Linked DNA regions of Oryctolagus cuniculus. The protein of the gene in region 7 purifies or fractionates together with the protein of the main gene of each other region. This does not show direct contact. Links are inferred from orthologs where the notes say so. Each region holds a gene or a part of one and is shown on either strand. Other genes may lie near its edges. The genes, in order: HSF1, PRKCE, CTNNB1, CDK9, CDC37, EGLN1 and HSP90AB1.

Evidence for each region.
Region 1: the proteins of HSP90AB1 (region 7) and HSF1 purify together in Homo sapiens (affinity purification with western blotting; 3 studies listed by BioGRID, with this or other methods). This does not show direct contact. The link is inferred for Oryctolagus cuniculus from reciprocal best matches to the Homo sapiens genes HSP90AB1 and HSF1.
Region 2: the proteins of HSP90AB1 (region 7) and PRKCE purify together in Homo sapiens (co-immunoprecipitation; 3 studies listed by BioGRID and IntAct, with this or other methods). This does not show direct contact. The link is inferred for Oryctolagus cuniculus from reciprocal best matches to the Homo sapiens genes HSP90AB1 and PRKCE.
Region 3: the proteins of HSP90AB1 (region 7) and CTNNB1 purify together in Homo sapiens (affinity purification with mass spectrometry; 3 studies listed by BioGRID, with this or other methods). This does not show direct contact. The link is inferred for Oryctolagus cuniculus from reciprocal best matches to the Homo sapiens genes HSP90AB1 and CTNNB1.
Region 4: the proteins of HSP90AB1 (region 7) and CDK9 purify together in Homo sapiens (affinity purification with mass spectrometry; 6 studies listed by BioGRID and IntAct, counting the BioPlex papers as one, with this or other methods). This does not show direct contact. The link is inferred for Oryctolagus cuniculus from reciprocal best matches to the Homo sapiens genes HSP90AB1 and CDK9.
Region 5: the proteins of HSP90AB1 (region 7) and CDC37 purify together in Homo sapiens (co-immunoprecipitation; 12 studies listed by BioGRID and IntAct, with this or other methods). This does not show direct contact. The link is inferred for Oryctolagus cuniculus from reciprocal best matches to the Homo sapiens genes HSP90AB1 and CDC37.
Region 6: the proteins of HSP90AB1 (region 7) and EGLN1 purify together in Homo sapiens (affinity purification with western blotting; 4 studies listed by BioGRID, with this or other methods). This does not show direct contact. The link is inferred for Oryctolagus cuniculus from reciprocal best matches to the Homo sapiens genes HSP90AB1 and EGLN1.

Annotation. Positions count from the first base shown.
Region 1 is NC_091437.1:168,064,874-168,068,626, reverse strand, and holds part of HSF1 (heat shock factor protein 1), read right to left. Parts: intron 454-3,753; coding exon 345-453; intron 113-344; coding exon 1-112. UniProt on the Homo sapiens protein: Functions as a stress-inducible and DNA-binding transcription factor that plays a central role in the transcriptional activation of the heat shock response (HSR), leading to the expression of a large class of molecular chaperones, heat shock proteins (HSPs), that protect cells from cellular insult damage.
Region 2 is NC_091433.1:156,694,982-156,698,734, forward strand, and holds part of PRKCE (protein kinase C epsilon type), read right to left. Parts: intron 2,135-3,753; coding exon 1,961-2,134; intron 1-1,960.
Region 3 is NC_091441.1:106,483,718-106,487,470, reverse strand, and holds part of CTNNB1 (catenin beta-1), read left to right. Parts: intron 1-914; 5' UTR 915-963; coding exon 964-976; intron 977-1,415; coding exon 1,416-1,643; intron 1,644-1,970; coding exon 1,971-2,224; intron 2,225-2,337; coding exon 2,338-2,576; intron 2,577-2,663; coding exon 2,664-2,865; intron 2,866-3,753. UniProt on the Homo sapiens protein: Key downstream component of the canonical Wnt signaling pathway.
Region 4 is NC_091432.1:231,217,844-231,222,131, reverse strand, and holds the start of CDK9 (cyclin-dependent kinase 9), read right to left. Parts: upstream 3,038-4,288; 5' UTR 2,754-3,037; coding exon 2,305-2,753; intron 1,875-2,304; coding exon 1,793-1,874; intron 770-1,792; coding exon 679-769; intron 584-678; coding exon 417-583; intron 1-416. UniProt on the Homo sapiens protein: Protein kinase involved in the regulation of transcription.
Region 5 is NC_091447.1:67,013,935-67,018,373, reverse strand, and holds the start of CDC37 (hsp90 co-chaperone Cdc37), read right to left. Parts: upstream 3,002-4,439; 5' UTR 2,903-3,001; coding exon 2,801-2,902; intron 1-2,800. UniProt on the Homo sapiens protein: Co-chaperone that binds to numerous kinases and promotes their interaction with the Hsp90 complex, resulting in stabilization and promotion of their activity. Inhibits HSP90AA1 ATPase activity.
Region 6 is NC_091444.1:50,885,244-50,888,312, forward strand, and holds part of EGLN1 (egl nine homolog 1), read right to left. Parts: intron 1,311-3,069; coding exon 1,243-1,310; intron 176-1,242; coding exon 111-175; 3' UTR 1-110. UniProt on the Homo sapiens protein: Cellular oxygen sensor that catalyzes, under normoxic conditions, the post-translational formation of 4-hydroxyproline in hypoxia-inducible factor (HIF) alpha proteins.
Region 7 is NC_091436.1:125,882,727-125,887,070, reverse strand, and holds the start of HSP90AB1 (heat shock protein HSP 90-beta), read left to right. Parts: upstream 1-1,466; 5' UTR 1,467-1,673; intron 1,674-2,826; coding exon 2,827-2,973; intron 2,974-3,308; coding exon 3,309-3,515; intron 3,516-3,598; coding exon 3,599-3,758; intron 3,759-3,849; coding exon 3,850-3,983; intron 3,984-4,093; coding exon 4,094-4,344. UniProt on the Homo sapiens protein: Molecular chaperone that promotes the maturation, structural maintenance and proper regulation of specific target proteins involved for instance in cell cycle control and signal transduction. Undergoes a functional cycle linked to its ATPase activity.

The DNA.
Region 1 (3,753 bases), on a different chromosome or scaffold from region 7:
TCGAGCAGCTGCTCCTGGCCACGCAGGAAGCACGGGTGCTGGAACTCGGTGTCGTCCCTCTCGGGCTTGACCAGGCCGCCCTGCTCGATGCGCACCACCTTCCGGAAGCCGTCTGCACAGGAGGCGGCAGCAGGTCTGCCTGAGGCCATAGGCCAGACTGGGGCGCAGCCTGGCGGTCTTGGCTAGGGGGCACCCTGTGGTCTCCCAGCTCCTGGCTCCGGCCCCTCCCACAAGGACCCTTCCCCCAGGAAGGGACCTCCCCCCCAGCCCGGGCTGCTGGCCTTCACATCCTGCACTGGTCAACCCAGAGTCCGTCCTTTGGCCGGGGCCCGGCAGGCACTCACACATGTTGAGCTGCCGCACGAAGCTGGCCATGTTGCTGTGCTTGAAGTACTTGGGCAGCACCTCCTTGGCAAACTGGCCCTGGTCGAACACGTGGAAGCTGTTGCCGCTCTGGCAGGAGACACGGGGTGGTCACACGTGGCAGCATGGGCCAGGCAGCATGGCTGCAGCCCTTCCCCGCCAGCTCTGTGATGCGCCCTCCCACCCCATGGGGTGGGGCTATGGAGGGGCTCGGGGGGAGGGGTACGGCAGGAGGAGGAACCGTCTCCCGGGGACCGGCAGACACATATGCACTGTACATGCCCCATGATGTGAGGCACCGGGCCGTGTGGCCAGAAACGGGGCCCTCACCCAGGCCCCACCTGGGATGAGAAGAGCCACACCTTCAGGCCCACGTGCTGGGGGCCGGCACTGAGCAAGCCCGATTCCCGTCGGAGGGGAGGGAACGCAGCCCCAGCCCCTGGCACAGACGGTGGCGGGGTGCGCTGCCCCTCTGTCCTCCTGAGCGCAGCCCAGGCACCAGGAGGAAGGTCTGGCACAGCGTCTGTGCTGGGAGCAGCTGTGGGGGCTCCGACGGGGCAGAGTCCACACAGTGGGGAGCAGGAGCAGGCAGGGACCGGGAAGAACCAAGGGCCTGTGGTTCTGGACAGGAACTGGAGCTGCTTTTGAACTCCAGAGAGAAGGAAAACGACACGGCAAGGGGCGTGCAAGAGACGGAGGAAGGGACCCGAAGCAGCAGGGAGAGCCCCGCGGCCGACGCCCCCAGAATCCAACTTGCGGAGGGGACACTTCTTCCCCAGCGACAGCAGCGAGCCTCCCTCCACCCCTGCAGCTGGGCATGGCAGGTGGGGCTGGGGCGCGTCTCTGCTGCCTGTCCCATTGCACAGGGGCTCCCCCAGGGCAGGTCTACGGCAGCATCCAGACGACAGAGGCAGAGACAGCTGTCCCATCTGCTGATTCACCCCCAAATGCTTGCCGCGAGCTGGCGGAGACCAGGTGACAGGAGCTCAAGCCAGGTCTCCCAGGTGGGCAGTGGCCTCCCACCGTTCACGCTAGCAGGAAGCTGGGGTCAGGCGCCAGAGCCTCTGCCATGGGATGGAGGTGTCTGAGCCTCTAGGCCGCACGCCTGCCCCCAGAGGCAGCTGTCAACAAAGCTTGCTGGGGGAGACAGAGCACCAAGCAGAGGAGGCAGGCAGGAGACAAGGAGAGGCTCCAGACACCTACGGGGGCCTGGACGCCAGGGCAGGTACCCAGGGCGTGCACTGGAAACCTTGCGGGCTCCGAGGAGGCAGGCAGGGAAGGAGGTGTGGAGAGGCTCCCAGGAAAGCCCGAGGCTGGCGGGCCCCAGCACCGAGACCACGCCCTCTCCTACAAGGGAGCCGAGGAGGTCAGATGATCAGAGCTGTGAGAGGCGAAGCCCCTTCCTCAGACCCTGCCTGGGCCACAGGACGCAGCGCGGGGCTGCACAGAATCAGCGACCACAACTCCAGGGAGGATGTCTCACTGTCTCATCTCCAGAGCCGCCCCATCAGGCCCAGCAACAGCCAGTTTCCAGCAAGCAAGCAAGCGAGAAGGGGTGGGTAGAGCCGCCGCCTGCAGTGCCGGCATCCCGTATGGGCGTCGGCTCAGGTCCCAGCTGCTCCACCTCCGGTCCAGCTGGGAAAGCAGTAGAGGATGGCCCAAGTCCTTGAGCCCCGGCACCCATGCGGGAGACCTGGAAGAAGCTCTTGGCTTGCAGCTCTGGCTGTGGCGGCCATCTGAGGAGTGAACCAGCAGATGGAAGACCTCTCTCTCTCTCTCTGTGGCTCTCAAGTAAATAAAAAATAAATCTTAAAAAAAAGAAAAGCAGAACAGAAAGTCCCCCACGCAGGAGCTGGCGCTTGGTGCAGCGGGCTAAGCTGCCACCTGGGACACTGCACCCACAGAAGCGCGGGGCCAAGTCCCGGCCGCTCCATGCAGGGCCCAGCGCCCTGCTGACTTGCCTGGCAGAGTGGGGGACAGGCTCCTGGCTCTGGCCCGGGCCACCTGGGGAGCGGATCTGCCAGCAGAGCCTGCTGGGGCTGAGGATTTCCTTGACGTGAGGCTCATACCAGGGACCTAACCCGTTTAAGCGTCGTGGGCGCTGGGCAGCTGGCTTGCGAGGACCTGGCCCACTTCACCTAGGGTGCGAATCCACATGCGTGCAGACGCAGTCTCCGGCCACAGCGGGGGTGCACTGGGGCCCCCCACGGCATCCTGCAGACCTGCAGATGAAGGGCTCCTGCCCAAGACTCGGGCCCGAGGACGTCACGGAGCAGCGGCAGCCTGAAGCTCCCTCCTCTGCTCGGCGGGTGACTGCACCCCTTCCCTCTGTCCCTGGGGCTCTGTGCTCTAACTCAGAGCGATGCCTGGAATCCGGTGACCCATCGCACTACTTCACAGAACCCTCACAGCCGTGAGCCTGACACGAGGAGAGAGGCTCTGGGCCCGCTGCCTCCTCCAGCCGGGCTGTCCACCCGGCCCAGAGCTGGACAGAGCCTCAGGAGACGGCGGGGACGGGAGGCTGACGTGGGCTTGGGCCCAGGACCTGAGAGGTGAAGCCCGCCTCCGGGCACCAGCTCCAGTTCCACGCAGCTTCCTAACGCACCTGGGCGCGCTGCCACTCACGGGGGAGACCCGGATGGAGCTCTGGGCTCCTGGCTTCGTCTGGCTCAGCCCCGGCTGTTGGGGGCATTTGGGCAGTAAACTGGTGGAGAGAAGCTCTCTCTCTCTACTGCTGTACCTTCCAAGTAGATGAAAATAAGGAAACTTTTTTTTTTTTAAAGTGCATTCTGGAAAAAACCCAGACATCGGGTGTGGGGAGGGCACGAGGCTGCAGGGCTGAGGCGAGGCGGTGCCAGGATCGCAGTCTACGCAGAGGGGCCGCAGCAGTTCTGAGCCAGCAGGAACGGGGGAGATGGCATGGGTCCTTGAACTCATCCTTCCCCAAGTCTTGTTTCTTCCTTCCTTCTTTTAAAAGAATGGTTGTTTCTATTTATCTATTTTTATTTATTTATTTTTTTGACAGGCAGAGTGGACAGTGAGAGAGAAAGAGACAGAGAGAAAGGTCTTTCTTTGCTGTTGGTTCATCCCCCAATGGCCGCTGCAGCTGGCGCACTGTGCTGATCCGAAGGCAGGAGCCAGGTACTTATCCTGGTCTCCCATGGGGTGCAGGACCCAAGCACTTGGGCCATCCTCCACTGCACTCCCGGGCCACAGCAGAGAGCTGGCCTGGAAGAGGGGCAACCGGGACAGAATCCGGAACCCCGACCGGGACTAGAACCTGGTGTGCCGGCGCTGCAAGGCGGAGGATTAGCCTAGTGAGCCGCGGTGCCGGCCTCTTTATTTTTAAATATGTATTTATTTGAGAGGGAGGGAGGGATCTTCTGACTG
Region 2 (3,753 bases), on a different chromosome or scaffold from region 7:
TCTTCTCCTCCAGCTCTCTGCTTATGGCCTGGGGAAGTGGTGGAAGATGGCCCAAGTGCTTGGGCCCCTGCACCCATGTGGGAGACCTGGAAGAAGCTCTTGGCTTTGGATTGACCCAGCTCTTGCCATGGTAGCCATTTGGGGAATGAACCAGCACATGGAAGACCTGTCTGTAACTCTACCTCTCAAATAAATAAATAAATCTTAAAAAGACCTTTGATTCTGATAGTGAGACCCACAAGGTAGGAGGCCCTGGGCCAAGACACCTGGAATAATTCCAGGAATATAGTGAAAAGTCGGACACAACATCTCTCTCCTTCATCTAGGGTTGTGCTGTCATGGAGAGGAGAAGAAAGCTCACCTCATCGCCAGCCTGGACTGTGTGCTGGACTCTGCCTATGTACACAGATACACACAGGCTGCTCCTCATAAATACTAGGTATTACACAACACGCATCCAAAATGAGGATGGTTAATAAGCCCTGTGCTTGTTCAGAAAACGGATAGGTCTCATTAAACAAGAGTCTCAGAGGAAAGTTTGACAGACAATAAAATCGAAGTGTCCTTGAAGGTTAAGCAGAAAGATTTCAAGAGTTTGCAGAAGATACTGCTGATTCCCCTGTGCGAGCAGAGGGCTGGAAAAAAATCTCTCCGTGTTTCTCCGTGTGGAGTAGGTGTTGTGTTTGTGGTGGTGGGGTCTCGAGATAAAATGTGTTGGGAAATAGTAGATTAAACAAAGATTATCTTTTTTTTTTTTTTCCACTGCAGTTCTCTTCAGGGATGCCAGTAAACAGATGTGTGTTGAAATTCTGTGACAGAGGTCAAGACTGCAGTGTCTCAAACCACGGGCCACAGAATGCCCGGTGCTCCCAGCTGCTCCAGGGATTAGGGTTCTGAGAAATACCCTCTGAGCAATGGTGCACCAAAGAGCCGCAAACTCTCCGAGGGCTTGCTCACCACACAGCGCCGGCACCCGATACAGCACCAGGCACACAGAAAGAGGCCAGTATCAGACAGGAACATGAACACTTGCTGAACGACCAAATGGGTAACCGTGGGAATCTAAGCAGGATTCAGCCGGGCAGAGGCAGGAGTTTGCCAGAGGGCACGCACTCGCCTTCCAGGACGCCCCTGCTCTGCCCGGGGCTCCGGATGGGGGTGGGCAGGAGGCACAGGTGACGTCATCTCTGCTTTCTCAAGAAGCCAACGCTACAAATCCAGATGTAGCCTAAGAGACCTTTTCTCCTTCCCCCCAAAAAGGCTAATAAAACAAGAGCTTCATGAAGAATGCTGGGTGGCATTTCCTTTCTGTCCTAAGAATAAGCAACAAATGAGTTGTGATACTCAGAGGTCGGGGCACAGCTTCCCCAGATGATCTTCGCTTCTTTACTGCCATCTTCTGGTCCCCAGGCAGTGACATGGCACATTGGAAAAAAAAAAAATCAAAACCCCACCAAGCTCCTGTTTGTCTTGCACTGTGGAATTTTAAGCATTTGTTTACATCCCGTACCTTCTCTGACGTTAACCAAAGCTAGAAACGATTAGGGTGGCCTTTCCTCTTTTTTCATGTGACCTGAAAGCAACTTAGCAGGTAAGTGATTTGAGAAGGGACAGAAACTTAGGAGAAGCACACGGATTAACCACATCTCTTGGTTTTTCCAAAGGGCACACCCTGGGTTGAGCTACTTGGCTTTGTCCAGCTCTATTTGCACAGTTCTACGGCTCTTCTCCTCCCTTCACAAGCACAACCTCCAGTGGAAAAATCCCATGCCCTTAAAAATAGAGGATGCTCCTCACATCCTCCCTGGTCTTTTCAAGCAGAAAATCCATTCCACTTCACCGAGTGTGGAGAGGCAATGGAGAGGCTCTGAAACCGAAACTTAAGACACTCAGGAGGCCGTACTGCCCTTCCTACGGAGCTGCTCCGGGCTGGTGATCACCAGCTTCTATCTAGACGCACCTTGGTCTGAAAGCAGCAGTAGAGTTGGGTTAGGTACGGGTGCTTCCGCGCCAGAGCCAAGATCCTCTTCTCCGTCATGGTGCAGTCCACGTCGTCGTCCTGGAGGATGACGTCCTTCTTTAAGACCTTCACGGCATACACTTCATCTTTGCCCTTGAGCTCGGCCAGCATGACCTGTGGCCAACCACAACAGCCCCATCAATCCGGCACGAAAGGACCAAAAGAAGCAACGCGAATGATACCGCATACATGCTTTCTAAAAAATGAATCCCTTTCATTTTAAATATTATAACTGATTAAAAACTGTTTAGGAAAACTGTCCACTCTAACATATTTCCTTCCACTGTCTGGTACAGCTTTGCACATTTGTTAAATGATTACCCACATGCTCATATACTTTTACAGGATAGGATTTAACAGAACTAGTATTTTATAAGCGTTTCTCTTTCATGGCTGCTGACACTCAATAAGTAAATACCACACGACTTATTTAGTCATTTCCTTCGTGTTACCCACTTACCACATATTCATAAATAAATTGCCTTAGGTATTTTTGTACAGAAAATTTTGAACTTCTGTTGTGTTACATCCTTAAAATAGAAATTCCCAGAAGTAAATTGAAGGGTTAAATATTCTGCACATTTCCTAACCAATTTTCCAAAAGGAGGAGAAATACAATGTACCACCAGCAACATGGCAGCATGTTAGTTTCGTGCTGATCTATCAACATTGGGTGCCTTCACTTAAAAATGCTTTTGCTCATTTACAAGGTATACAGTGCTATCTCGATGCGGTTATAACTTGCCGTGACACTTTTAAAGTGTTTGCTTTCTAATTGTATTTCTTCCTGGGTGGATTATTTGTCTCCTTTGTCTAGAGACCAGCAGTGTTATAACATTCTTACAAGGCTGTCCAAATGTACTGTACAAACATATTAACCCTCCACTTTCTGCAAAGGTTTTTCTAAGTCTGTTTTACAATTTTCCGCTTTTGCTTTCCACAGAGCAGAATCACTGGTTCTGATGCAGGGACATTTGTCATTGCTTCCATAGCTTCACAGCTACAATGGGACTCTTTCTCCAGTGAGCCAATTAACATTTCCATTTTCTTAAAGCTTTCCTAGCCATTGATACTTTCCTATGGAATAACCTACAAATGCAGGAGCCTTTTTTCTCTTTTTAAATAACTAACTCCTAAGTACAGCATCCCAAGGTAAGTTGTCAGAGCTAAAAAAGAGCAACTCAAAAACATAATAAGGGGATTTTTGATGTCAGCCTGAAGACGTCTCACCACCCACACCTAACAGAGACTTGAAAACTGGCTCGACCGATGGCTGTGACCTTCCCTAAGACACTGCTAAGTGCTCTGAAGTCATCCCGGCTGCCCTCCTGTCTACACGGCATGGAAACCTGGAAACTCTGAGTCTGCTCGTTTCCCTTGAATCTTGCTCAAAATAAACCGAGTTCTGCTCGCATCCCAACGTCACGCCATGCCCGAGAACGGGGTTCTGTTTCTTATTTAGCCAGTCTCCAAAGAATGTGGTTGCTTCAGCTCTTGCCACTTCCAGAAACTCCGGTGATCCCAGGCTGAGATAAGGGTAGGTGAGGGGCTGGGTGGAGTGGGCCGGAAGCTCAGCCAGCCAACAGCCCTGCAGGTTGGCTTCTGTCTAGAGTCTAGAACATGCAAAGGCATGGGGCTCCCAGGAGCTGCCTGGTCCCTAGAGCAGGGCTTCCTCGCTCCAAAGTTCCCAGAAAAGCAATCCCTGTGGCTTCCCAGGCACAGCTTGGAGAAGA
Region 3 (3,753 bases), on a different chromosome or scaffold from region 7:
GGCAGAGTTAGTCAGAGGCAGAGAGAGAGAGTGTCTTCCATCTGCTGGTTCACTCCCCAGATGGCCACAATGGCCAGAGCTGCGCCGATCTGAAGCCAAGGACTTGGGCCATCTTGTATTGCTTTCCCAGGCCATAGCAGAGAGCTGGATCAAAAGTGGAGCAGCCAGGACTTGAACTGGCGCTCATGTGGGATGCGGGTATTGCAGACCAGGGCTTTAACAAATGCTACGATTTTTTTTTATGTGAAATTAAATTTTTATATTGATCAAAATAATATCTTCATTGGTAAGATGTGTGTTGATACTTGTAATCAAATTACTATAAATTTGAAATTAGAAAACCTTCACTAGCAAACATGCTTTTATGTTGCAGACTTTATTAGAAAAGTAGTTTTATTTGTAAAAACTCTAAAATTCACTGTTTTGATCTGTTCACCAAAATCTGCTTTATAAAGGTATATTCGGTTACCTGTGTTAAATTAGAAAACAGCTGACTTGTTTAATTGAAAATGTAGTGTTTTTAAAATCCCATTGGACCTCTACTGTCCAAAGGGGAATCTTTGACGTTTTCAGTGAGGTTAAAAAAGAAGAGACCCTCAGGAATTCTGAGACGTTGATTTTTGCATAGGCTTTTTTCTCCCTGCTTTCAGCATTAGAGTTTTCGTGCTTTCTCATCACCATCCTGACTAGCCGTCGTTTATACTTTACTGAGAAGAGGTGTGTGTCCAGGAGGAACTTGGACTTAGATACTCGGCAGTGAGGAGATCCTAGGTCTGTTGCACATGTATCATGTGGTGAAAGAGGTTTTGGTGTTTTTAGGGCATGGTCCATGATATCTAGCAGGCATCCCAGTGACTTATGTTAAAATCTGGTTAAGTTTAAATCCTAATAACTTTCGATTAACTCTTTTTTAGGGTAACTTGACGTTTGCTATACAACTGTTTTGAAAACCCTCCGTGGACAATGGCTACTCAAGGTTTGTGTCCTAAATCTTGGTTGCTGAATTGAGGCTCTGCTTCTTTGCCATGAACCCAGCCTGGCTCAGATCCCCCTGCTTTCCTCTCTCCCTGCTTACTTGTCAGGCTACCTTTTGCTCCATTTTCTGCTCACTCCTCCTAATGGCTTGGTGAAATAGTAAACAAGCCACCAGCAGGAATCTAGTCTGGATGACTGCGTCTGGAGCCTGGGTGCAGTACCATTCTTCACTGATTCAGTGAGTAACTGGTAGGTGCTCCCCCTGAGGGCATAGGTGTTTCGCCACTGAGCTGATCCTGGCTTATCATTCTGCTTTCTTTGCTGTCTTTCAGATTTGACTTTATTTCTAAAAATATTTCAATGGGTTATATCATGATTTTTTTTTAAATTAAGGTAACATTTTCAGCGTACTGATTGTTAATACTGTTTGGTTTTTACAGCTGATTTGATGGAGTTGGACATGGCCATGGAGCCAGACAGAAAAGCAGCTGTTAGTCACTGGCAGCAGCAGTCTTACCTGGACTCTGGAATCCATTCTGGTGCCACCACCACAGCCCCTTCTCTGAGTGGCAAAGGCAATCCCGAGGAAGAGGATGTGGATACCTCCCAAGTCCTGTATGAGTGGGAGCAGGGCTTTTCTCAGTCCTTCACTCAAGAACAAGTAGCTGGTAAGAATGTTACTGCCTTATTAAAAGTCAGAATGCAGGTTTGAGAATTTATTTTTGTTAAAAAAAGACTCAGCTTTAACCTGTTGTGGCTTTACCTGCTGTGCCACAATGCTGGCCCCGAGAATTTGCAATTCTTATCAAAGGTAGTGTGGGTGGGGAAGAGAAGGGAGTGTTGGAATTCCTTGCCTTCTCTGACTCCACTTACCCTTATATTAGACCAACTGATGCTGAGTGACAAGTCATGGATGTCACCTTTCCTTTCTGGATAGCACACTCTTCAGTGAATTCCGAACCGTGGATAGTAAATGTTGACTTTCTCTTTCCTAGATATTGATGGGCAGTATGCAATGACTCGAGCTCAGAGGGTACGAGCTGCCATGTTCCCTGAGACATTAGATGAGGGTATGCAGATCCCATCGACACAGTTTGATGCTGCCCATCCTACTAATGTTCAGCGTCTGGCCGAGCCTTCCCAAATGCTGAAACACGCAGTTGTCAACTTGATTAACTATCAAGATGATGCAGAACTTGCCACACGTGCAATCCCAGAACTGACAAAACTGCTCAATGACGAGGATCAGGTAAGCAGTGCCATGGCTAGCTTCTGAGTCACTTTGAAGGAACCTGTAGAGAGCTGTTTCAAAATGGCTCCCCAGTATCAGTATAGAAAACTAATGATGTCTCTTAATTATAGGTGGTGGTTAATAAGGCTGCAGTTATGGTCCATCAGCTTTCTAAAAAGGAAGCTTCCAGACACGCCATCATGCGTTCTCCTCAGATGGTGTCTGCTATTGTACGCACCATGCAGAATACAAATGATGTGGAAACGGCTCGCTGTACTGCTGGAACCTTGCACAACCTTTCCCATCATCGCGAAGGCTTGTTAGCCATCTTTAAGTCTGGAGGCATCCCTGCCTTGGTGAAAATGCTTGGGTAAGGAAAGAGGTCCAAGTGCCCGACGCTGAGAAGCAGCAGAATGCAGTCATAACATTTCTCATGAGGCTTTTTCCTTCTTTCCAGCTCACCTGTGGATTCTGTATTGTTTTATGCCATTACAACTCTCCACAACCTTTTATTGCATCAAGAAGGAGCTAAAATGGCAGTGCGTTTAGCTGGTGGGCTGCAGAAAATGGTTGCCTTGCTCAACAAAACAAATGTTAAATTTTTGGCTATTACAACAGACTGCCTTCAGATTTTAGCTTACGGCAATCAAGAAAGCAAGGTAAAGAATGGTTTTTATGTGGCTTTCATGGAGCGTTGGAGGCCGTGCAGTGTTATGTCAGTCCATGAACTGACAGTCATACCATGCGTCACTCATGTTTTGGGAAAATTGGGCATCTCCATTTCTTTAAGTATGTGAATGACTAAAGCACCATGCTAAGCACACTTTTAACAGGAGGCAGTGTTCTCTCTGAACTTTAGTTCTTCTGTGGGAGATAGACATTGTATTACAGGGCTGGGAGGGCACATGAGAGATGAAATAGAACCTGTTTTAAGGGTTCAAAGAGACCTAACAGAGGAAGTAATCATCGAGTTCACCTTTTCAGGATGAGAAGGGATTGATTAGACGACAAATGAGAAAATGGCATCTTTGAAGCTCCTAGAAAGGGAAGGGTGTGGCAAGTCTTGTGAATTTAAGAAATTCAAAAAAGAGATGAGGTAATTGAGGTGGGGGCCGACTCCAGGGCTCTGTAGAGCGTGTTATAAAGGGCAGTGGGAAGCTGCTTTCAGCAGAGGCAGAGAGTGGAGACTGGTTTCTGAAAATGGAGGCAGTATCTGGAGGTGGGTGTATAGAGGAAAGTAAAGGGCAAGAGTGAGTGATGATTTTGGTATCTCTTTAAAGGGATATGATCAGAAAAATCAAAGGGTCCAAATGAGTTGCATGTGTGTGTTCTGGGTCAAATTTTCAACTGATCCGTTTTGATATAACCTCTATATTTGAACATTAATATTGTATAGCAGCATGTTTTTATTTTTTCTCCCTCTTCCTTTGCTATGATCATTGTGGTAGAAGGAAGTTGGGCTGGTGATTCCTTAGGAGGACTGGGATGCCTGCTTTGGGGTGAATATACTGAAGGAAGGGAAGTTCGGTGGGGGCTTGAGTGAAGGG
Region 4 (4,288 bases), on a different chromosome or scaffold from region 7:
CCCGCCCCCGCCCCGCCCACCTTGTTCCTGTGGATGTAGTAGAGCCCGTTCAGCGGCCCCCCCCGCGGCCCCGCCCCGCCCCCGCCCCGCCCACCTTGTTCCTGTGGATGTAGTAGAGGGCGCTCAGCGGCCCCGCCCCGCCCCGGCCCCGCCCACCTTGTCCCTGTGGCTGTAGTAGAGGGCGCTCAGCGGCCCCGCCCCGCCCCCTCCCGCCCCCGCCCCGCCCACCTTGTTCCTGTGGATGTAGTAGAGGGCGCTCAGCGGCCCCCCCGGCCCCGCCCCCGGCCCCCCCGCGGCCCCGCCCCTCCCCCGCCCCGCCCACCTTGTTCCTGTGGATGTAGTAGAGGGCGCTCAGCGGCCCCCCCGGCCCCGCCCCCGGCCCCCCCGCGGCCCCGCCCCTCCCCCGCCCCGCCCACCTTGTTCCTGTGGATGTAGTAGAGCCCGTTGAGCAGCATCTGCATCACCCTCTTGATCTCAGACAGCGTGAACTTGACCAAGACGTTGCTGAGCAGCCCCGCGAGGTCGTGCTCGCAGAAGTCGAACACCAGGTAGATGCTGCCCTTGCAGCGGTTATAGGGAGAGGCTGAGGGAGAGAGGGGTCAGGACACCCCCGCCCCCCCGCGCCCGCTCAGGCCGGCCGGCCGAGCAGGCAGGGCCCTGGCCCCCGGCCGCCCGCACCTTTGGTCCGGCAGATCTCGATCAGGTTCACCACGTTCTCGTGCTTCAGCAGCTGCAGGATCTTGATCTCCCGCAGGGCCGTGATGGGGAACTGGGGGAGGGGAGGGGAGGGGGGCCGTGAGCAGGGGGGCCGTGATGGGGAACTGGGGGAGGGGAGGGGAGGGGGGCCGTGAGCAGGGGGGCCGTGATGGGGAACTGGGGGAGGGGAGGGGGGCGTGAGCAGGGGGGCCGTGATGGGGAACTGGGGGAGGGGAGCCGTGAGCAGGGGGGCCGTGATGGGGAACTGGGGGAGGGGAGGGGGGCCGTGAGCAGGGGGGCCGTGATGGGGAACTGGGGGAGGGGAGGGGAGCCGTGAGCAGGGGGGCCGTGATGGGGAACTGGGGGAGGGGAGGGAGGGGAGGGGAGCCGTGAGCAGGGGGGGCCGTGATGGGGAACTGGGGGGGAGGGGAACCATGAGCAGGGGGGGCATGATGGGGAACGGGGGGGGGGGAGCCGTGAGCAGAGGGCCCATGGCAGGGCTGTGATGGGGAACGGGGGGGGAGGAGCGGTGAGCAGGGGGGCCGTGATGGGGAACTGGGGGGACGGGGGCAGGGGGACCGTGAGTGGGGGGTGGGCGCCATGGCTGGAGCACAGGGGTGAGAGCAGCGGGCCCATCTCAGGAGCCGGTCTGAGCCCAGGACCGGGGACAGCCATCGGCGGAAACACCTCACAGTGTCGAGCTGCGAGGCCCGGCGGCGAGCAGGGTGGGGGCTGCCTGGGGGGGCAGCGCTGTCAGCCGCCCGCCCCGCGTCAAAATCCCTTTGAAGAACCACGTGCGCGTTTTCCCTTCCAATTAAACAAGATGGAAACTCAGAGGCTGAAAGGCTTCCGAACGCTCTGCGCGGACGCCAGGGCAGGCGTGAGCTCCCCACCGGCCCAGCCGCCGTTCCAGGAGAGAACCAGGCTGAGCCCGGGCCAGATGCCTCGCAGCATTTCCGAGGCCACCACAAACTCGATCTCAGCCCGGGACTGCCCGGGGACGCACGGAGCCCGGCGCGGGGCAGCGCGCAGCCCGGCCGCCCGGGGACGCACGGAGCCCAGCGCGGGGCAGCCCGGCCGCCAGGCCCGTACTCACCCCCTCCTTCTCGTTCTCCATCAGCACTTTCTTCAGAGCCACCTTCTGGCCAGTCTGGCGGTGCTTGGCCTTAAACACCTCCCTGCAGGCCGACAGGGAGACCCTAGAGCTCACCCGCCGGGTTCCGCAGCGCCCGCCCGCCCCTCCCCCGCGACAGGAGGGGCGGCTCCGGGTGGGGCCGGGGCCCGGGCCGCGCGAGCCGCGCCCCTGCCGCCCGGCACCTGCAGGCTCCCTCCGGGCCCCGGCGTGCACCCCCCGGCCCCTTCTCTCCCCGGAGGCTCGCGGAACATCGCTGCGCTCACAGGCCCCGCTCTGCAGCCCCTCCTAGCGCCCCCCCAACACCGGCCTCAAGCTCCTCCCCGCCCGCCGGCGCCGCGCGGCCTAGCGAGACCAGGGCACAAGCCGAGGAGTCGGCGGCCGCCCGACCTCCTCTGGCCGGGCCCCGGACGTCCCGACGTCGGCCCCGAGGGGTGCAGGCCCAGAGCTCCCGGCCCCTTGGGGCCTAGCCTTACCCAAAGGTGCCTTGGCCGATCTTAGCCAGCTTCTCGTATTTGGTCACTTCATCGCAAAACGGACACTCCACCGAGTCGTACTGCTTTGCCATGGCCGCTTCCAGCGCGCCGCCGCCGCCGCCGCCGCCGCCCCCCGCCGCAGCCGCCGCCGCTCCCGCCCCGGGCCCTGCAGCCGCGCTCCAGGCCCCTCCGCGGCCGCGCCACTTCCGCTTCCACGGCCACTTCCGGCCTCGCGGCGCCGACCCCGCCTCTTCCGCCCGCCGCCCGCCGCCAGGCCCCCTGGGACTTGTAGTTCCCGGGAGGCCAGGGGGAGCCGGAGCTGCAGAGGCGCCGCCGCCGCCGCCGCTGCCCCCGCCGCCGCCGCCGCCCGTGCTGGCGGCTGCCCCGATCGGGGGCGCCGGGAGCCGGGGCGCTGGGGCTGGGGCTCGGGGCGGTGCGTCCCGCTGCATCGGCCCAGGCCGCCGCTGCTGCCGAAGCTGCTGCAGCCGCTCGGGCGCCCGATCCGGGGCCAGCCGCAGTGCCCTGCTCCTCCTCCTCCGACGGCGCCGCCTCCGCCGGGCTGCGCTGGGCGGCGGGCGAGGGGGGGCCGCCCCCGAGCCGCGGCCTGGGGGCTCCCTGGCCGGGGCTCGGGCCCGGGGCTGCCGGGCGAGGGGGCGAGACGCGGAGAGCCGACAAGGAGGCGGCCGGAGAGCCCAGGAGGGGGCGCGTTATGAAGGGGGAGGCGCCCCGGCCTCGCCCTCCCCTCCCCCTCTGCCCGCCCCCTCCCTCCGCCCACCCTCCGCGGCCGCACCTGCCGCCGCCGCCGCCGCCGCCGCCGCCTGCCCGCCCGCCCGCTCGCTGTCGGCCGGCCGCCCTCGGCGCGTCACCGCCCGCGGCCCCTCCTCTGTCTTCGGAGGTGGGGCCCCGCGCTCCACACCTGGCTGCGGGGCGCCCTGCCGCGTGCCTCAGTTTACCCCCACTGCCGGCTGCCGCGCGGGGCCCCCGCCTCCTCGGCTCCGAGCGCTCCCCCAAAGGCGGAGGCAAGAGGCGCCCAGGGAGCGAGAACCACCCCCGCCGCCGCCGCCGCCGCCGCCCCCGGCCCCGGCCGCCCGCCGTTGACATGGCAACCGACAGCCGCCAGGGGGCGCGGCGACACTGGCGGCGGCTTCGAGCCAGGCCCGGTCCTCTGGAGCCTCGCCCCCCACCCCACCCCCGTTCTCCGGGAGGAAGGGTCGAGACCCCGACGAGCTGCGCCGGAGCTGAGGGACCTGGGGTCGGTACTCGCAAAAGCACCTAACGTGTATGTCTGCTCAGGGAGTGCTGGCCATTCCTGCCGAATCCTGAGTGCACGGCGACCCATTTTACAGAGGAGGACGTTGAGGCCCGGGGTGTTAGCCCTTGTCACCAAGTGACAGAGCTGGGGTCCGGACCCATCCTCCTGAACCTGAAGCCTTCTAACCCACGCCACTGCAGGCCTGCTGTCCCGGCACAGGCACCAAGCCCGCCATCCACCTGGCGCCCCTCCTGTCCCCGCCCCTGCCCGCATCCCACCCACTCTCTCTCCCTCTGTCTCCCTCTCCTCTCTCTCTCCCTCTCTCCCTCTCTCTCCCTCCCTCCCTCTCTTCCTCTCTTCCTCTCCCTCCCTCTCTTCCTCTCTCCCTCTCCCTCCCTCTCTCCCTCTCTCCCTCTCCCTCTCTCCCTCTCTCTCCCTCCCTCCCTCTCTCTCTCTCCCTCCCTCCCTCTCTCCCTCTCCCTCTCTCCTTCCCTGTTTCCCTCTCTCCTCCCTCTCTTCTCTCTCTCTCTCTCCTTCTTTCTCTCTCCCTCTCTTTCCCTCTCCTTCTTTCTCTCTCCTCTCTCTCTCTTTCCCTCTCTCCCTCTCCCTATTTCCCTCTCTCCTTCTCCCTCTCTCCTTCTCTCTCTTTCTCTCTCTCTCTCCCCTCAGGCCCCAGGAGCTCTGCCCAACGAGCAGCCCCCAGCAGAACTGGCTTTTGTGCCTCAGCTGCTC
Region 5 (4,439 bases), on a different chromosome or scaffold from region 7:
ATCCGTCTCCCTGCTAATTCACCTGGGAAAGCAGCAGGCGAGAGCCCGAGGATCTGAGCTCTGGCCGCGCATCAGGAAAGCCAGAGGGCAGAGCTGGAGCAGCCCTGCTGTCACAGCCATTTAGGGAAGGAACCAGCACATGGACTCTCTCCTCCTCTGTCAACTCTGCCTTTCCAATAAACACGTCTTTAAAAATCCATAAATCAGGAAACCCTGGCATCGACCCCCACGGGTTGGGTCCCGGGCATACGCTTGGATCCAGAGCTAGCGAGCGGCTGGCTGGCGTGCCAATAATCCAGGAGCTGAATCCAACCCAACTGGCCACGCCTGGAATGCTGCTTCAAAAATTCATGGAGGATGGCCCAAGTGCTTGGGTCCTGCACCCGCACGGGAGACCAGGAGGGGGCACATGGCTCCTGGCTTCGGATCGGTGCAGCTCCGGCCATTGTGGCCGTTTGGCGGTTGAACCAACGGATGGAAGACCTTTCTCTCTGTCTTACTGTCTGTAACTCTACCTGTCAAATAAATAAATAAAATCTTTAAAAAAAATTTCATGGAGAAATGACATTATAAAAGATAACTTTTGGGGCTGGTGCTGTGGTTAAAGCCCTGGCCTGAAGCGCCAGCACCTTTATGGGTACCAGTTCGAGTCCCGGCTGCTCCACTCTGATCCAGCTCTCTGCTGTGGCCTGGGAGAGCAGTGCAAGATGGCCCAAGCCCTTGGGCCCCTGCACCCGCGTGGGAGACCTGGAGGAAGCTCCTGGCTCCTGGCTTCAGATCAGCCCAGCCCTGGCTCTTGCAGCCATTTGTGGAGCAAACCGGCTCCATCTCTCCTTTTCCTTCTGTAACTCTGCCTTTCAAATAAACTAAATCTTAAATTAAAAAACTTAAAAGAAGAAATGGATAATCTTTAAAATTAAATAAGTCTTCACCAAAAAATTGGCTCAGCAAAGTAAATAAATCTTTCAAAAGGCAACTTTAGCGGGGTGCAAAAAGTCTGAAATTCAGGCATATAAGTTGGATTCAAAAAGTTCACAGAAAACCAGTGCCTCGAAAGGACTATTCCTGGTTACAAATTTTTGGCAACAAAATAAGCAATATCACTTTTCTTTTTCTTTTTTTTTTTTTTTTGACAGGCAGAGTGGACAGTGAGAGAGAGACAGAGAGAAAGGTCTTCCTTTGCCGTTGGTTCATCCCCCAATGGCCACTGCGGCCAGCGCACCGCGCTGATCCGAAACCAGGAGCCAGGTGCTTCTCTTGGTCTCCCATGTGGGTGCAGGGCCCAAGCACTTGGGCCATCCTCCACTGCACTCCCGGGCCACAGCAGAGAGCTGGCCTGGAAGAGGGGCAACCGGGACAAAATCCGGCGCCACGACCGGGACTAGAACCTGGGGTACCGGCGCAGCAAGCGGATGATTAGCCTAGTGAGCCGCGGCGCCGGCCTCCATCTTTTAAAGTTCAGAGGCAGAGACAGAGTTCCCAGCTGCTAGTCCATCATCACGTCAAATGCCCACAAGGGCTGGGGCTGGGCCAGGCTGAAGCCGGGAGCCAGGAACTCAAAGCAAGTCCGCCACGTGGGTGGCGGGGGCCCAGGGCCCTGAGGCGTCCCTGCTGCCTCCCGGGGCAGTGGGAAGGGCAGTGGGAACCGGAGCCGGCAGTGGGTGCAGAGCCCAGGGCGGCGGGCAAACGCCCACCTCTCCGGGAACCCAGAGTGGCAGCCACCAGGCCACCTCTAACTTTTCCATCCCAGTCTCTGCACCAGGATCTTTCCAGAAGCGGGCGCCGCGTTAGCTCAGCTTTGCAGCGCTCAGAGAGATCACAAACCTCCCCCCACCTCGCAAACTGGAGAGGGGGCTGGGGGCTGGGCGGGCACCCCGCCCCTCCTCCACAGCAGCCGGCCAGGAAATGGGGCGGCCCCCACCCCGCTCTCCACGCCAGAGTAAAGATTAACCTCTTTACGCGACAGAAATAGTCTGGGGAGCCTTGCGGAGGTCTTAAATATTTCATAATAAATAGAACTAGAAGGGCTGGAACTTTCTTCCCACACTCCCGCACAGCAGGTGCACGCCCCAGGAGACGGCCGCTTTAAGGAAAGGTTTGGGGGTGGGCCCGGGAGGCAGAAGCAGGCCCCAGGCCACATCCCGGAAGGATGGGGCAGGGCCCTTCTAGGGCTTTCTGGATACAGGTCTGCCAGAAGGGAGGCCCGGGACGGGAATTCCTACTGGAAGCTTCTGGGAGGTGCGCGCTCCGTGCGAGCTGCGGGGTGAGCACCTCCGGGCGGGAGGATGGGTGGGAAGCCACGGGCTGCTCACGGCTAGGATTCTGGGGTCTGGCTCTGGGGGCTCTGTCGTGGGCAAATACGTCAAAGAGGGGGTGGTGACCATGGGGTCCCTGAGTTGCCAGCAGGGACCACCTGCCCGTCCCAGGGTTGATGAGGCTGGGGGCAGGGGTGAGGCGGGGTGGGGTGTCCTCAGATGCCGGCAGAGGTTCCTACAGGCGAGGGACCCCCCCCCCCGGTGGCCCTGGGAATACACAGACCGAGGGCGTCTCAAGGGTTAATAGAGACCCGTGCAGAATCCGAAGGCGGCCCCAGGGGTCGCGCGCAGGGACTGGGGGTGGGTGGGGGTGGGGGTCCCAGCGCTCCCCGAGCCCCGGCGTGGAATCGAGGGGCGGGAAACTCCAAACCGTGAGGTTGGAATCCCGGGCGTCAACAACCGCGGGGTCCCCTGGGCAGTACCCGCGGTCAGAACTCTGGAGCGGTCCCGGGAAAGGGGGCAGGGGCCGGGCACGCGCGCTCTACCTGGTGCCTCCAGCGGAAGAGGCTGGCCGTGTCGATGTTGGGGTGCGTCTCGTCCTCATCGTCGGACACTTCGATGTGGTCCCACACGCTGTAGTCCACCATCTTGCCTCCACGGCCCAGCCCGCGCCCGCTCGAGCGGCGGCGGCGGCGGCGGCGGCGGCGGCGGCGGCAGCGCTGGACACTCGGCCCGCGGAGCCCCGCCCCTTCCGCTTCCGCCCGCGCGCGCAGCCCCCGCCCGCGCGTGACGTCACATCCCTGGTAACGGCGGCGGCGGCCCTGGCGACCAAGCCCGCCTTAAAGGGACCTGCGCACGTGTTAGGGGCCAGGGAGTTCCCGCCGAGACCCCGCCTCGTTGGGCAGGGAGACTCTGCCCGGCACCTCCTGGGGGGCCTACAGGGCAGCGCGGCAGCCAGGAGCGCCTCTCATCTCCTGCCGCCCCCTCCCCGGGGGGCGTTTGCGCTGGGGCAGTTGACGAGACTGAGGGGCTGGATTGTCCCGTTGGCCAAGCCGCAGTGACATCAGCCCGAGGCCACCGCAGGGGCGGGGCCTCGACTCGAAGACCCACCCCCACCCCCACCCAGCTCCCCTGAAGGTGGGGGACTGGATTCCGGGCTAGGGAGGGGCACGAGACCCGAGGGGACTCCCCAGTTCGAGTAGGGGGGGTCGAGACCCTGCCGTGGTGGAGGGGTCTAAGCGAGCGGCGGTAAGATCCTGTCCTACGTGGCGGGGAGGGGAGGGGGTCGACGGTAGGGCAGGGTTTCCCGCGCTGGGACCACACACAGCCCCCGGTGCCCGCCACTCGTGAGAGACGACTTGCGCGCACACCCCCCCTCTGGAATCACCCAAAAGGTTTTCGGGCGCCCTGCGTGGCGTCCCCACGCACGGCCGCTGGGTGTCGCCAAATGTCCAGCTAGTGGCCAGTGCTGCTGGCCTCCGGCCCAGTAGGGGACTGGGGAGGGGCGGTAGGGGGCTTTCCTCGTCGTCCGGGTCTGGGGCTGCTCGTCGCCCCTCCCCGTTCGGCTGGGACCCCTCCCCTCGGCCAGAACGGCTTCAGGATGCCACTGCCCCGAGCTCGGGGCAGCTGGGCCGCGCGCTGCTCCACGGCTCCACCCACTCTCGGATGCAGGGATAAAAGGCCGTGTTGCAGCCTCGGGCCAGGATTATCTCAGATTAAGGGGTGCTCCGCGAGGGTCAAGTGGAGTTGGAGGAGCTCCGGCCACCTGTGTCTGGGACGCCTCTCCCCAGTTCCTCGCAGAGCCTCTGTAGATAGTGGGGGGTCCCTGGAGAGAATAAAAATCGCTCCATGGGGGTGGGGGTGGGGAGGGATTCCCCGGCCCGTTGGGGAGGGGGAGTGGCCATCGGGACCAAAAGCGCCCTCCCTCCGCCGCCCCTCCCCCTCGCTTTTCATTCAAACCCGCGAGTGGGCGGGCGGGGGCGGGGGAGTCCCCGTCGCTTCCCCCTCCCCCCCTCCAGCCGCCAGTCCAGCTCCTCCGTGGCCGTCACGGCCCGAGCACGCGCGCGCACGGACTCACACCCCGGCGGGTCTCACCGCCGCGCGCACACACTCACACTCACACTCACACACCAGCAAACAAAGGGTCTGGGCACCCCAGTCCCTTCCCGCCCCCTCCCCCCGCCG
Region 6 (3,069 bases), on a different chromosome or scaffold from region 7:
ATGCCGACTGGTTGTCTGTTTTTCTTTATCCCATTTATTTGTATTCACAAGTTAACAAACAGTGTCAACAATTATTGTAGTGAACTGAGGGTATTGCTGGATGAGAGGCTCTATAAGACATCTTTACTGATTGAATCAGAAGGTTTATTGAGTTCAACCCTCACTCCTTTTTCCCCTGCAAGGTAAAAAAATAGATAAAATTCATTTATTCATTAGGCACCAGAGAGCTTCTGCTACTGCTTCCCACTGAATTCCCAACAGTATGGACCAACATCATCTGAAAACTTTTATACTTGCACTTCCAAATGTTATCAGTGGTGTTCTATTATGATGAAGGCATTCATTTCAACTAGTAAAACCTTTAAGGGTAAAACCATCCTCTGTATAGAGAATGATTTCGTCTCCTTTTTATTTTAAAAAGCAATTATTTGTGGGCTCTGCCACAAATAACTACTTTAAAAATACATAGAAAATCCATCAACATTCAATTTGTATGTTGTTTATAAAAGCCTGAAGTGGGATTATCAATGGCTCATGAAAATATGGCTAATCAGTAATGTGAACACTTAATGGACTTTTGGATATACAGGTAGGGTTAAAGAAAAGAAAGCGAGTGGTCCATCAGATGGGAAACTGAGACCAACTGCTCTAGAAGAGAGAGTCCATGAGCGGGGGCAGAGGAGAACTGGTGTAACGAAGAATCTTCAGGTTCGGTACAAGTGTGCTGACCTGTCTGTGTATACCACTGGAGATAATGCAGTCCACATGCCTAAGCTGATTCACTCATTTTGGCATTTCAATTTACCTCCTTTATATTAACTTTCTTCATGTCCCTATTGAACATGGAAGATCGAGGATATTTTTTAAGAGTATGTATGCTTAAAAAAGGAAAGGATATTTACTGCCTTCTTGGGGGCAAACGAGAGGTAGCCAGATGGCCATTAACAAGAGTCAAGTCCCCTGTGACTGAAAAGGATAATCACAGAAAAACTTGGACGATAACTGAATAATTACTCAGATTTTGCCTCAAACTTTCCTAATCTTTTGGCAATTTTGTAGGCTAAATATAATAATGAAGATGACATTAAGGGAAGTCCTTTTTTAAGAAAGGGAATTAATGAATCTGACAAAAACAAGAATTATTCATGGTGTTAAAAAAGACTATACTTGAATTTACTGAAAGCACCACCTGATGGCAGGGTACTTTTGTTCCAGTATACCCTGGCCCCAAATGATGTTTACCTGTTAGATATTTTACTTTAGCTCGTGCTCTCTCATCTGCATCAAAATACCAAACAGTTATTGCGTACCTAAAAGAAAATTTAGAATAGGGTAAGAATGATCACATTGGGGGGTAGGGTAGTGGTATGCTGTTATGATGGTATATTAAAACTTGTGATGCCAAAATTATGCCTAAACTTGAATGATACTAAAGGACAAATGAGTACAACAACTCACTTTTCCAGTAGCCTCAACACTGAAGAGTATAGCAGAGAACCAGGAGAGGCTAAAATTGATGTCACAAAGTTGAGTATTTATGACTTTTTAAACATCTGTTTAAACTGCTTGACTATCTTTTTTGCAACCCCACCACAGAGCAGAAACAGATAACAAAAGGGTAAAAGAATGGCTATTACAGAAACAGCACATTATCCATAGCAGAAGTACTAAATGAAAAAGTGAGAAACAGAAAAGGATTCCATACACAGCAGCCTGGGGCCTTTAGTGAAAGGAGAGTAAGTCTCAAAAGCTTCTGAGAATATCATATTACATTATAGCAAAGTGGAATGATGGATGTTTTTAATTATAACCTGAGTCATCAAGAGGAGTTAAATTATACTAAGACTTTTCTAGAATTTTTATCAAAACAATTATACTATGTTCTGAGGTTTAAAGTGTAGCTAACTTCATTTTTCAGAAAATTACACTTAATTGGACTATCTTATTCCAAAAATAAATGAGGCATCACCAGTTTATAAAATAGTACATGTTAGATCTTCTGATAGGAGCAAGGGGGAAAATGTACAGACACTATAAAATTGAGGGCATGGCACAAATCGTTAATTCTTCAGTAGAGTGCAACAATTAGTTAAAATATCTTACAAATTCTAGTCAATGGTCATGGGGGGCAAGCATGATCGAATGATGACCCCGTATATGTGACAAAACTAAACCAGGAAGCATATTGAAGTAAACAGCCAAATGCAGAGCTGAGTCAGAACCTGAGCACCTGGACAACTCGAGGAGACTGAGGTGCGGATCTCTCACTGGAGAAGGACAGAGCTGCGATCAGAGACGGGTCTGCTGACTGCCACACTCTGCTTTGTCTAGAGTTCAACACCTTTCTTGCCAGGTGGCCTCTTCTATTTTTTTCTGGTGGCCTTGGTAATAGGAAAGGGCTCAGATATATCTGTCTTCTGTCCATGTGACTTAGTAATCAAGAGTTCTAATTTCTGGATCACCTCCCACCATAGCCCCAAGTCCTTACCAGGAAACAACTGTAACCCACCACCTGCCGTTCTCACTCGCCAGCCTTATCGTTTTCCTCACAAATTTCCTCACCACGACTAGGACGATCTTGCCCTTTCTCAGAGCTGCACTAACGCGGCTGGGCTTCTGGCCTCTTTACTGCTCAGTCTAACACCACCTCCTCTTTCTCTCAGGTCCCAGAGTACTTATGTTCCACACGAGTTGACACTGATTTACTATTTCAAACTGTTATTTATTCATCTAAAAAGGATACAATCAAACCAAGCTCAAAATCTCATTGAAAAGAAGGTCTATGAAGCAGTTTCTGGGTCAGAAAACATTTAAAGAGTCTGCAGTGGGAGGTAGAGGCAGGCACTGAGCTTCAGGACGAGGGATGGGATCCAAGAGAAAAGATTCTCTCTGGTTTCCATTTAGGACTTTTTATGATTTCTGGCTACCAACTGTTCAGCCTGCTCCTCTGTGTGAATTAGCGGGAAGGCTGCTTGACTCAGAAAGGAGAAAAAAGGGAGAGATGACACGCAAGTCTTCAGAAGCTCACGCAAGCTGACTGGACTCTAACATCAGCACTAAACCCAGTGT
Region 7 (4,344 bases):
AACTGGGGAGTGAACCGCTGGATGGAAGACCTCTGTCTCTGTCTCTCTCTGTAACTTTACCTCTCAAATAAATAAATAAAATCTTAAAAAAAAAAAAAATAGGTAGCGTTAGAACCTAGCACCCTGAGGCCTTCTGGGCAGGACCCGACGCCTCCCCCACCCCATTCACTTCCCCCAGCCACAGGCTTCTCACAGACCGCGGTGAAAGGGACAAGGACATGGAGAGAGACCCTTGGCCCAGTGACGGCCGGGACGACCACGTGGACAGCGCAAAGAAAAGAAGGGTCCTCCTTTGTTCTCTGGAAGCCAGCATGCGGCCAAAGCTGGTTAAGGAGGGGGAACCGGGTGCCGGGGCTGGCCGGCTGGGGAGCACGGAGCAGGGCGTGGCCAGGGTCTCCTGGGAAGGACGCGGGTCCAGCAGACTTTCAGGGGACCCTTGGGAAAGGCAGGTCCGCCGGCAGCCGGAAGGCAGGCAAAGGGTCCAAATTGGGCCAGGCGGGCGCGACCCGCGGCTCCCTGGGCTGCCGCATGGCCGAGGGTCGCAAAGGAACTTGGTTCCCACGGGGCAGGCGACCACCGGCAGGGGTCCCTGGAGACCCTCCCCTCCCCCTGCCCCCGCAGCTAGAGACGCGAACGAGGGCGTAAAATCCGAAACCAGCTTGGGAAATAGCTTGAGGTGACCCTGTAAGCAGGGCGCCTCAACCAGTGTTTAGGGATTGGGGGGCTGCCGCGAAGGCTCGGGAAGGGATGGGCACCCCCAGTCTCGGCTTGGATGGAGGCGCCCGAAAAACATTTCCGCTGCCCGAGGTGTGCGGCCGGCGGGAGAGGCGGAGGGCCAGGTGCCCCTCAGCGGCGGGGCAGTGCCGCGCTCCGGGGGCGGACGAGGCGGGTAGCAGGGCCGAGCAGCGGCAGCCCACCCGCTCCGCCCAGGGGTCGGCCCGAGCTGCAGTACCTACACTGCCCGGGCCGCAGCGCGAGGGGAGGAGCCTCGAGGGGAGGCGGCGGCGGGGGCGGGGCCGCCGAGACTGGCCTGGAAACTGCTGGAAGTGGCCGCAGCACCGCTGCCGCCGCTCCTTCCGCCGCACGCCAGCAAAGAGTCCCCTCCCTCCCGGGCCGGCGCCCCTCCCCCGCCCCAGGGGGCTGCAGGCAGCTGGGCCGTTCGCCGGGAGGAGGGGGGATATATGTGGCAGATCCTAGTTAGACGACTGGGTGGGAGTGACTACCTCTGCTCGCTTCAAGTCCCCGTCGGCTCGGCCTCCTGGTTGTGGGAGGGCTTTTGGGGGAGCCGGTGGGGTCCTCGCTCGCAGATCCACTGTTGAGGCATATGAGCACTCTCAGTCCCTAATCGTGGCAGGGGTCACGCCCTGGCCGTGCAGAGAACAGGAGCTCACGAGCCCACACCGAGGCTGGCGGCTCTGGCTCTTCCCCGCCCGCCCCCTATTCCGGACCATGACGTCAAGGTGGGCGGGCGCCGGCAGGTGCGGGGCTCGCGGGCGTCCGCCTTTAAGGCGGAGGGATCCGGGGGAGGCGGCTGGGCTGTGCTTCGCCTTATATAGGCTGGCTGGGGGCTCCCAAGAGCTCTCTTGAGTCACCCCCGCGCTGCCTCGTGCCGTGTGCGGTTGGCAGTCCGGGCCCTCCGTGCTCTCTCGTGCTCGCAGCCCTTTCCCTTCAAGGTAAGGCAGCCGCGTCCCTGCAGGCCGTTCCCCCGCGGGTGCTGTCGCTGCGCAGCTCGGGAGCCAGACGCCGCGGTGCGGGGCGGCCCGTGGGTCCCCGCGCGCTCGGGCTGCGGGGGTGGTGCGTGGAGGCTTTCCAGCGTCCGGTCGGCCTGCACCGGCGCGCCGGGCCGGCGGCGCGGGGCCGCGGCGGGGGCCGGCTGCACGTGGTGGCCGCGCCGGCCCGGGGCGCTGCCATGTTTGCCCCTCCACTTCCGGACGCGGCTACGAGGGCCGCGAGGCGGCCGGGTCCGCGCGCGGGTGACTCAGCACTGCGCGCCTGGGTTGCCGCTGCTGCTCGGCCCTCGAGGTCCGTGCGGGACCCGCCGCGGGCAGAAACGCATTTGGCGTGTGGCAGGTCTTTTCCGCAGCCCTCGAGTGGGAGGGGACAGGCTCTGGAAGATTCATAGGCTCCCTCCCCCGCCCCTCCCCGAGCGCGGAGATTGTTCTCGAAGCTTCTGGAGCCCGATGCTCCGCCCCAGTGCCCGGATGCTGGGGCGATGGCGAGGCGCGCTGTGGCGCCCCCTTCTCGCGGGGCTGCGGCCGACGCATGTCCGGCAGTGACGAGGGTCGGTCCGCGGCCCCGGGCACCATTTTACTTGGGTGCGAGCAGGTGCTGGGGCGTCACGGGGCAGCCTTCGCCTGCTCTGTTCTTTGTCCCGCGTGGACTGCCCCGCGAGCCGGTTACCGCTGTTTCTCGGGTGTCAGTGTGCCCTGCCGCGTGGGGCTGCGATCGGGCCTTGGGCGCATCCACACTACAGGGGTAGAAGAGCTGCCTACGGGCGAGCAGTTTGAGAATAAAACCAGCGCCCACATCAAAGAGACGTGTGGTCAGTGATGCTGGCGTTTGAACGTGGGGCGGGAGTCCCTTGTCTGGGTTGGGACCAGCGTGGTGAGCGGCTGCTGGTCACCCCTGCTCCATGCTACCTGCTTGTCTGGTTGAGGAGGGCTTTGCTCTTGACCTGACTCGGTGGTTGTTAGTATTCACCCCACAGGTTTTAAGAAAGGGCGTGTCTTCAGTAACCCCGCCCAAAGCAGTTTAAACACCATCTGAATTTCAGAAGCGTCAGTTCTGGGGCCGCTACCTTCCTGATTCTTGACCCTCCTGTTCCAGATGCCCGAGGAAGTGCACCATGGAGAGGAGGAGGTGGAGACTTTCGCCTTCCAGGCGGAAATTGCCCAACTCATGTCTCTCATCATCAACACCTTCTACTCCAACAAGGAAATCTTCCTGCGGGAGCTGATCTCCAACGCGTCTGATGTGAGTTCCTTCGTGTTTCATGGCTGGCTGGGCTCCTCCCGAAGGGGGAAAACTGATTGCTATTGAAGGGGTTTGTCCGGGTGCTCCCTGGACGAGCGGGCCAGTGTGACCACGCGGCTCCTAGTCCAGTGAGGCCCAAGGTTCTCACTTCCAGGGGTATTTCAAGGACGCAATTTTCTGTTACCATTAAATGGCACGTTTATTACTCACTCTAAGAGTTCACAGTTCGTGTAGGATGATGGGGCAGTCAGAGTTACAGCGTGAGAGTAGCAATCCAAGAGGTTCCTAACGCTGAAGAGACGGCTAAGAAATCCGCTGTTGGTGCTGCCTTGCAGGCCCTGGACAAGATCCGCTATGAGAGCCTGACGGACCCCTCCAAGCTGGACAGCGGCAAAGAGCTGAAGATCGACATCATCCCGAGCCCCCAGGACCGCACGCTGACGCTGGTGGACACCGGCATTGGCATGACCAAGGCCGATCTCATCAACAACTTGGGGACCATCGCCAAGTCGGGGACTAAAGCCTTCATGGAGGCTCTGCAGGTAGGTGGCAGCCAGCCCTCGACGTGCGGCCGGGCCTCTGTTCTCTGCAGGACACGAGTCTGACCGTTCCCGCTTCTCTGCAGGCTGGTGCCGACATCTCCATGATCGGGCAGTTCGGCGTCGGTTTCTATTCTGCCTACCTGGTGGCCGAGAAGGTGGTCGTGATCACAAAGCACAACGATGACGAGCAGTATGCCTGGGAGTCTTCTGCTGGGGGCTCCTTCACCGTGCGCGCCGACCACGGTGAGTGGCCGGGAGGCGCTGCTTCACAGGGCGAGTGTGCAGCAGGCGGTCCTGGGGCAGCTCGCTCACCGCCTGCCCTCCTGGTCTGCAGGGGAGCCTATTGGCCGAGGCACCAAGGTGATCCTGCATCTCAAGGAGGACCAGACTGAGTACCTGGAGGAGAGGCGGGTCAAGGAGGTGGTGAAGAAGCACTCGCAGTTCATAGGCTACCCCATCACCCTCTACGTGAGTATGCTTCCCGCGGAGGCAGCCTGCCTGTGCTTCTGGTGGGCTGGGCCATTTGCTTGCCCTGAGGGTCGGTGCTCAAAACTGACGAGTGTTTCTGGGTGCTTTAGTTGGAGAAGGAAAGAGAAAAGGAAATCAGTGATGATGAAGCAGAGGAAGAAAAAGGGGAAGAGAAAAAGGAGGAGGAAGATAAGGAGGACGATGAGAAGCCCAAGATCGAAGATGTGGGCTCCGATGAGGAAGATGACAGCGGCAAGGACAAGAAAAAGAAAACCAAGAAGATCAAGGAGAAGTACATCGATCAGGAAGAACTGAACAAGACCAAGCCCATCTGGACCAGAAACCCTGATGACATCACCCA